Linked DNA regions of Neurospora crassa OR74A. The protein of the gene in region 1 interacts with the protein of each later gene in a biochemical or structural test. Links are inferred from orthologs where the notes say so. Each region holds a gene or a part of one and is shown on either strand. Other genes may lie near its edges. The genes, in order: NCU09380 and NCU01301.

Evidence for each region.
Region 2: the proteins of NCU09380 (region 1) and NCU01301 form a complex in vitro, tested with the Saccharomyces cerevisiae proteins (3 studies listed by BioGRID). The link is inferred for Neurospora crassa OR74A from reciprocal best matches to the Saccharomyces cerevisiae genes PUF6 and LOC1.

The regions. Positions count from the first base shown.
Region 1 is NC_026501.1:3,514,579-3,518,901, forward strand, and holds NCU09380 (pumilio domain-containing protein), read left to right. Parts: upstream 1-1,431; 5' UTR 1,432-1,606; coding exon 1,607-1,844; intron 1,845-1,919; coding exon 1,920-3,721; 3' UTR 3,722-3,947; downstream 3,948-4,323. Other genes in the region: NCU09382 (TPR domain-containing protein), read left to right, coding at 1-53; NCU09381 (RWD domain-containing protein), read right to left, coding at 291-907, 979-1,045. UniProt on the Saccharomyces cerevisiae protein: RNA-binding protein involved in post-transcriptional regulation. Component of the ASH1 mRNP which transports the ASH1 mRNA to the distal tip of the bud, where the ASH1 protein is translated and targeted to the daughter cell nucleus.
Region 2 is NC_026505.1:3,571,583-3,574,906, forward strand, and holds NCU01301 (60S ribosomal subunit assembly/export protein loc-1), read left to right. Parts: upstream 1-1,484; 5' UTR 1,485-1,613; coding exon 1,614-1,922; intron 1,923-2,031; coding exon 2,032-2,352; 3' UTR 2,353-2,699; downstream 2,700-3,324. Other genes in the region: NCU01300 (imidazoleglycerol-phosphate dehydratase), read right to left, coding at 273-685, 769-1,045; NCU01302 (hydrolase), read right to left, coding at 2,857-3,000, 3,055-3,183, 3,259-3,324. UniProt on the Saccharomyces cerevisiae protein: Required for efficient assembly and nuclear export of the 60S ribosomal subunit. Involved in asymmetric localization of ASH1 mRNA.

The DNA.
Region 1 (4,323 bases):
AGGTTTGGGAAGATACAGACGTTGAGGAAGATGAAGATGAGGAGATGAGTTAAATGGCCCCAACTGGCTTCGTCTCGTTTGTCTTCTAACCATACCACCTTAAGCTGAGGCGTCTTTTTCAGGCAAACTTGTTATGGCATACCCTGGAGTCCGGTTAAGAGGGGTAAAAAGTAATGTTCAGGATTGGTTTTCACATGGGTTAGGTATACTTAGAGCGGATTAAAGCCTACAGCAAAGAATTAGATAATTTTGGCGAACGTGATAGAGGGCTTACGATTTGTCTAACGGTCCTAAACCGTGAGTTTCTGGACCTCTTCCACGGGGACGTCATCATCGCCTTCCAGGTCCTCATCACCCTTCCCAGCCAAGCCCCTCTCCCAGAGTTGTTTGCCCGTGAGCTTGACAGGCTCCTTTATCCTTGCCTTCTTCATCTCGGCCGCCTTTTCCTCTTCCTCCTTGATTCTCTGATCTTCCAGTTCCTGCAAGAAACTCTCCCTCCACTTCAAAAAGGTTTCGCGATTGACGGGAGTGCCCTGGAACTTCTTGTTCTCTTCGCGCTCCGCGGCAAGGGCGGCCTCCTCTTGCGCCTTGATGGCAGCGTCCCTCCGCTCTACTGCCAGTTGCTCCGCAGCATCCTTCAACGCCGACACAACAGTAAAGATCATGGCCATCCCCAAATTCTCTTCAATTGTCTCTTGGATACCTTCGAGCAGCTGGAACCGATCGTCGGCAATGTTTATGTACTGATGGGGCGGCGCATTTGGGGCGGACGCAAGCTCAAGGAAAGGTGGCTTGTCGGGATAGTCTTCGGGGTACCGTACGGTAAGTACCATGCTTGGTGTTTCTTCGGCATCATCATCAGGAATGTCCAGCGTGATAGTAATCCGGTATTCGGTATCGGAGATATCTAGACGAGTCGAGCTTGGGTTAGGACAGGCCCATGCCTGAACGGCAACCGATGTGGGCGAACAATCGAACCTTGGATCTCATCTGGGAAGATGGAGTCGAGGACTTCCCTCTCTTCAATTTGTTCTTCGCGGCCCATGATGTCCAATCGGTAGGGCGCCTTTCAAGTTTGCAGTGTGCTGGACGACATAAAACGTGAAAGACTCCTTCCAAAAGTGGGTGCTGGCAATGTTGACTTTCAGGCGTTTACTAACCTAGAGAAGAGGACGGGAGGGGCAACCAGACGGCATTGCAGTGACTGTAGCGTCAGGTGCAGGCCAAACTCCAAAACGCGAGCGCGGCTCAATCTATGGTGGGGGTCCTGCCTGGGTTCCTTGTTATATCAATGGACAGTTCTAGACAGTGTCGATCAAGTCGCCCCACCACAGAACCCCGGAAAGCTTCTCACCGCCCGGCAGATGCCAGGATGCGGATCCAGAAATTTTCAGCGGAAAACGTGCTACAGAATTTCCAATTCAGAGGCTTCAGATACAGGGCACTCCAAAGTTTCGGATTCCCGTCTGAATACCTGCACTTTCACATATTCCTGCTCGACCATCACCTTTGAACCAGCGCCCACCCAGTACGACGTCAACACGAGCCCCCCATACCTAGATCAATCCTTCATATCCCGGAGCAACACAGACATCGCATAGCATCAATGGCGACCAAGTCGTCTTCAGCAGCCGCTGCCGGCGGAAAGAGAAAGGCGTTCGGCAAGCATAACGAGGATGGCCGTACAAAAGCAGTAAAGACCACTTCTGGCAAGAAACACATCAAGGCCGAAGCCGAAGACAATGAATCCTCCGATGAAAGCTCAGACGCCGAGTTCCACACAGGAGAGACCACAACATCCACGCCCAATGAGTCCGGCAATGGCTCCAACGAGACCAAGTCTGGTACGTTGTCTCTCTTTACCATATCTGCCCCATGATGACCGAACCTCGCTCTGTTATTTGACTAACACAACGCAGGCACAAGCTCCAGGGAGGCGCACGCCAAGCAAAAACAACTCGCCCAAGAACGCAAGAACGCGAAGCCACTGGCCGATGAGGTGCACCGTACCAAGAAGCTGTGGGAGAAGCTCCGTCGCAAGTCGCATGTGCCTAAGGAGGAGCGCCAACAGCTCGTTGAGGAGTTGTTCACCATCATAACTGGCCGCATCAAGGACTTTGTCCTAAAGCACGATGCTGTCCGTGCCGTCCAGACCGCCGTCAAGTACGCCACCCCGGTTCAGCGTAGGCAGATTGCGAAGGAACTTCAAGGAACCTATGCGCAGCTCGCCGAGAGCAGGTATGCCAAGTTCCTGATCGGCAAGCTTCTGGTGCAGAACGACAAGGAGATCCGCGACATCATCGTCCCCGAGTTTTACGGCAAAGTTCGCAAGCTCATCAACCATGCTGAGGGTTCCTGGATTCTGGACGATGTCTACCGCGGTGTTGCGACCAAGGAGCAAAAGGCCAACCTCCTTCGCGAGTGGTACGGTCCCGAGTTTGCTCTGTTTAGGCAACCCAAGGGTACCGAGGTCACTGGCGATCTCTCCAAGATTTTGGCTGACGAGCCCAGCAAGAGGACAACGGCGATGAAGTACCTTTTTGACATGGCCAATGGCCTCATTCAAAAGAAAATGACTGGTTTCACCATGCTCCACGACGCTCTGTTGCAGTACTTCCTCAACCTTAACCCCGAAAGCGAAGAGTTCAAGGAGTTCTTTGAGACTATTAAGGAGGATGAGACCGGCGACTTGCTCAAAAACATGGCATTCACCAAGTCTGGCGCCCGCCTCGTGTGCTTGCTCCTTGCGCACGGAACCGCCAAGGACCGCAAGCAGCTGCTCAAGGCCTACAAGGACACCTACCAGCTCATGAGTGGTGACAATCACGCGCACGCGATCATCCTCGCCGCCTACGATCTCCTTGATGACACTGTCCTCACGTCCAAGACGATCTTCTCCGAGATTCTTGGCAAGAATGAAGAGAAGGATGCCGAGCACGTCATCTTTCTCGCTAACGACCTCAACGCGCGCACGACGGTATTATATCTCTTTGAGGGAATGTCCAAAGCGTTGTTCCCTGCCAGCCACGCCACCGACCTGGAGATTCTGAAGGAGATTCACGAGATCCGCACCAAGACCAGCAAGAAGGACGCCGAGGTTAGGCGTAAGGAGTTGGTGACGGCCATGTCGCCTCAGCTCCTTGCGGCCATCGCAAGCTCACCCGCCGACCTGGTGGCCACCTCTTTCGGTTGCCAGTTTGTTACTGATGTTTTGCTTTCGGCGACTGGAGATAAGAAGGCCGCGTTGGAGGCTATTGCCTCTACTGCCGGTGGCGATCCCAACGCTGAGGCGCCCAAGGATGCCTACCAAGCTCTTCCCCCTCACATCTCGACAACCATTCACGGTGGCCGCATGTTCAAGACACTGATTGCTGGCGGCCGGTTTGACAAGGCCACAGGCAGCATCCAGAAGGTCGACCCCCCGCTCAACTTCGCCGACCTTCTCTATCCCGTCATCAAGGACCACATTGTACAATGGGCCACCGGCCCTAGCTCTTGGACGGTGCTAGCTATGCTCGAGGCTTCCGACTTCTCATCGAAGAAGGAGCTCCTCAAGACCCTCAAGTCCAACAAGAAGGCCCTTATCAAGGCCGCAACTGAAGCACCGGCGTCGAAGAAGGAAGAGATGGAGGAGAAGCCAAAGGCTAAGAAGGGCAAGAATGCTTCTGCCCCCAAGGGCAACCAGGGCTCGAAGCTCCTTTTAGAGAAGCTCGATGCCTAGGTTGAGGAAATTGTAGGCGTCGCATGGCTATAGTGACAAAAGTGGACGGTAGCCACAGGTTGACTAAATACCCCTTTTATGTTGTTTACTTTGTCAATGCGATTTTGTTGGGCCCCGCGTAATTTGCGGTTGACTGATAGCCCTGTTTACAAGTCTGGACATGTTATATATGATTGCATAGAGAAAAGCTTGCTTCCAGACTTCCCTGATGGTTCAGATATGACGCTTGAAACAGGCCGTGGCCTACTTGGAGTGAGGTAAATCATAATTAACCAGACAGGAGCGAGACAACTTTCTTATATTCGCCATTCCGGACCTTGGAAGGCCTTATTATCATACGACCTTCACATTGAACCACTTGTACCACAATTTTCGAGGGACACAACCTCCCCATATCAACATGGCGTGTAGAGGCAAAGTGCTGTGCAAACATTTTGACTGCGGCACCAAGACCGACATATATCGGGTTCACCGTCACTTGATGGCTAAGTGCCGCTTGGAAACCGAATAGAAGAACGGAACTGCCTCAAGGCTACACCCGTGCAAGGCCGCGTATATCCTTGTGCAACGGCCAGCTCACTGAGCGACCATGGCCTGACGGC
Region 2 (3,324 bases), on another chromosome or scaffold:
CCCATTCTGTTGTCCGCTGTGGAGCCCGCGTACGTCCGACTTTCCGAAAGGGGAACTTTGTCAACAACCTGCATCAGGGGTAAATTCCCTAGGTATACATTCGCCAATTCGCAACATGTATCTGGTTTTCCATTCTTCACTTCAACTCTACGCCGTCGCTATAGCGAAATGATGGCAGCCGAACATGCGCGCAAAGTACCACGGTAAACGACATCACATGGTATCATTGCACTTCTATATCCAAACCTATAACTAACTCCCTTCCCACTTCCTTATACGCTGAGCGTTCCCTTGGTGCTAGGAACTTCACCCTCGCGACCCGCCACCCGGCTAGTAGCCTGCCTCGTGGCAACCGCAAGCGCCTTGAATGCGCTCTCAGCTCTGTGGTGGTCGTTGTCGCCGCGGAGGCAGTCGACGTGCACGGTAATGCGGGCAGCCCCGGCAAAGCTATGGATACAGTGGGGGATCATCTCGGTGCTGAGATCGCCAATCTTCTCGCGCTTAAGACCGAGGTCGACAACGGCAAAGGGACGGTTCGACAGATCGACGACGGCACGGCTGAGGGCCTCGTCGAGAGGGCAGTATGCGGATCCGAAGCGCGCGAGGCCGGTGGGTGTGCCGAGAGCCTTGGCAAAGGCGTAACCAAGAGCGATGCAGACGTCTTCGGCGGTATGGTGGTCGTCGACTATGAGAGGGACAAAGTCAATTCAGAGTTCTGGATGTTGTTCCACGAGGACTTCTGCGCCCAAGCCAAGTGTGTCTACTAACTGTGAAGGTCGCCCTTGCAAGCAAGCGCAAGACTCCAGCCGGCATGCTTGGCAAGCGCATGGAGCATGTGGTCAAGGAAACCAATGCCGGTATTGACGCTGATAGTTTGCGATTTGCTAGCCTGAGTGGCATGGCCGTCGGCGATACTGACGTTCAAGCGGGCGTCGGTCTCGGGAGGGAATGCGCCGCCATCAAGGTTGAGTGCGATCTGGATCTTGGTCTCGTTGGTGTCGCGTGCAAAGGCGGCCCAGCGGGGCGCGGGCTGTTCGGTGCTCATTTTGTCTGAATAGGGCGTCTGAGACTTCTGGGGACTGTAGACTCTTGGGATATCACCACGGCAGTGTGATCAATTGCGATGTAAGGATGGCGACAATAAAGGTGATCTTGGAAATTTTGGCGATTTCGGAGTGCCACCAGTGAGGGAACGCACCGATAGGCAATCGATATGGAATAGGTACCTCCACTAGTGCTGCCAACCCCGCGCTTACACTAGAAGGAAACTAGAGTTTCCTGCTCGCCTGCCGATCCCCAGCTGCCAATTAGAGATTTCAAGGCAGCCCCACGGCGAGCTGACAGACCCCACTGCCCCGTAACCGCGCTCAGCAGGCGTTGATACAGTGCTATATGCACAAGCTCTAGAGGTACCTTGGATTAACCGCGATAAGATAAGGCAGGGACCAATTCCGGTCCCAAAATTTTCCCCAGAAGTCGACCGAACTGAAGCGACAGCGTACAGGATACATTCGAGAGTATTCGTACTCCATCCACCCATCCATATCCCGAACCACCATTTCATCTATCGTTGATTTCTTACGACCTTATCAACGAATCAACCACAACTCACAATGGCGCCGACAAAAACGATAAAGAACAAGCACGCTGCGAACAAATCCGGCATCAAGGGCAGCAAAGATGCGGAGAGGTCGAGGAACGATGGAGTGCTCAAGTCCAAGGGAAAGCCGAAGGGCAAAGCTCACACTCTCGTGACTGCCAGCAAGGGCCGACCGAACATCCAGGAGCTTATCGCCAGGAAGAAGAAGAAGAAGACCTACAGCGAAAAGGAGCTTGCGATTCCGGAACTCAACATGATCACCCCCGTTGGTGTGACCAAGCCAAAGGGAAAGAAGAAGGGCAAGGTGTTTGTGGATGACAAGGTAAGCTGTCTTTCGTTAGCGTCTGGGGTCATATTGGTTTTTTGTTTTCTTGCTAGGTTTCAAGACCGGAAAGCATCAAGTAACTGACATGTTTTCCCCCTTTGTACAGGAGAGCATGGCCACTATCCTAGCCATCGTACAAGCAGAAAAGGAGGGCCAGATCGAGTCCAAGATGATCAAGGCGCGACAAATGGAGGAGATCCGCGAGGCGAGACGCGCTGAAGCCGAGAAGAAGGAGGCTGAGCGCAAGGCCAGACTCGAAGAGACTAAGGACTCGCTGCGCAAGAAGCGTAAGCGCAGCAAGCAATCGGGCGGTAGCAAGGGCGACGACGACGATGACTCCAGAGATGTCAAGGAGTTCTCGTCTGCGGGCACGAAAGCCGTTAAGTCGAAAAAGAAGAAGTCGGTATCCTTCGCTGCTCCCGAATAAATAATCAAGCAAGGATGCTGGGAGCTTTGAAGGTCCCTCCTGGGAATGGGCTGGGAGAATGAAGACAGGAAGGGTGGAAGTTTGTCGTGTAATACCTACACCAAGCATTTTTTCTTCGCATGTATGGCGTCTGGGCGTTTATATCAATCAAAGTCTGGCGGCGGGTAGGATGGCTTGGCTGGGGGAACAGTTCTGACTGATTTTGTGTGTGGAAATTAAAGATACCAATTGGGCACGCCAGCCTTGGTCCAGCCTCTTTTTCTCATGAGTCGGTAGATGTTATTAGGTGAAACCGTCAGGATGGTGTAGTTCGTGGCTCGCATAAGCCATCAATGAACGTACGTTCGAACCTGTATCCAAGTCGAAAGCGCGAATCTAAGTCTATGTGCAGCCCCAATGTGCCTTGAAGCGCGTCTAGACCCTTTAGGCCCAATCGATGGACCCATCTCTATAGCTAATCTATGTACAGTCTTCGTTCTTTTCAAGTGTTCATTCCACCACCATCTATTGATCCACATCGAGAATCTGCAACTTTCGCTGCACAGGGTCGAAGTGAGTTCTGAACTGGCTATCGAACTTGTCACAAGCATCCGGCTTGATGGCGTCCAAGTCAATATCGAAAGCCATCTTGTTCAGGAAGTTGCAGATCTAGACAACAAATCAGCAAAAAGTTACCGGAAAGTGAGGCAAAAAGAAACTTACAGGACGAGTATGCCATCGTCCGCCACCAAGTTCGAACCATGAAAGATGTCCGCCGAGAGACGTGAGGCAAAGTACCGTGTAGGGGTTCTGCTTGATCTCTTGGTAGGGAATGGCCTCCTCAACAGCGATCTAGTAATTTGTCAGCTCTATACTCATGGGGGTTTCAAACTGCACTCTTGAGGGAAAAGGAGAAGATATGCTCACCGGATCATCAGCGGCAGAGAGGGCCATAAAGGGAATCCTGATGCCTAAGACAGCGTCACAAGAGGA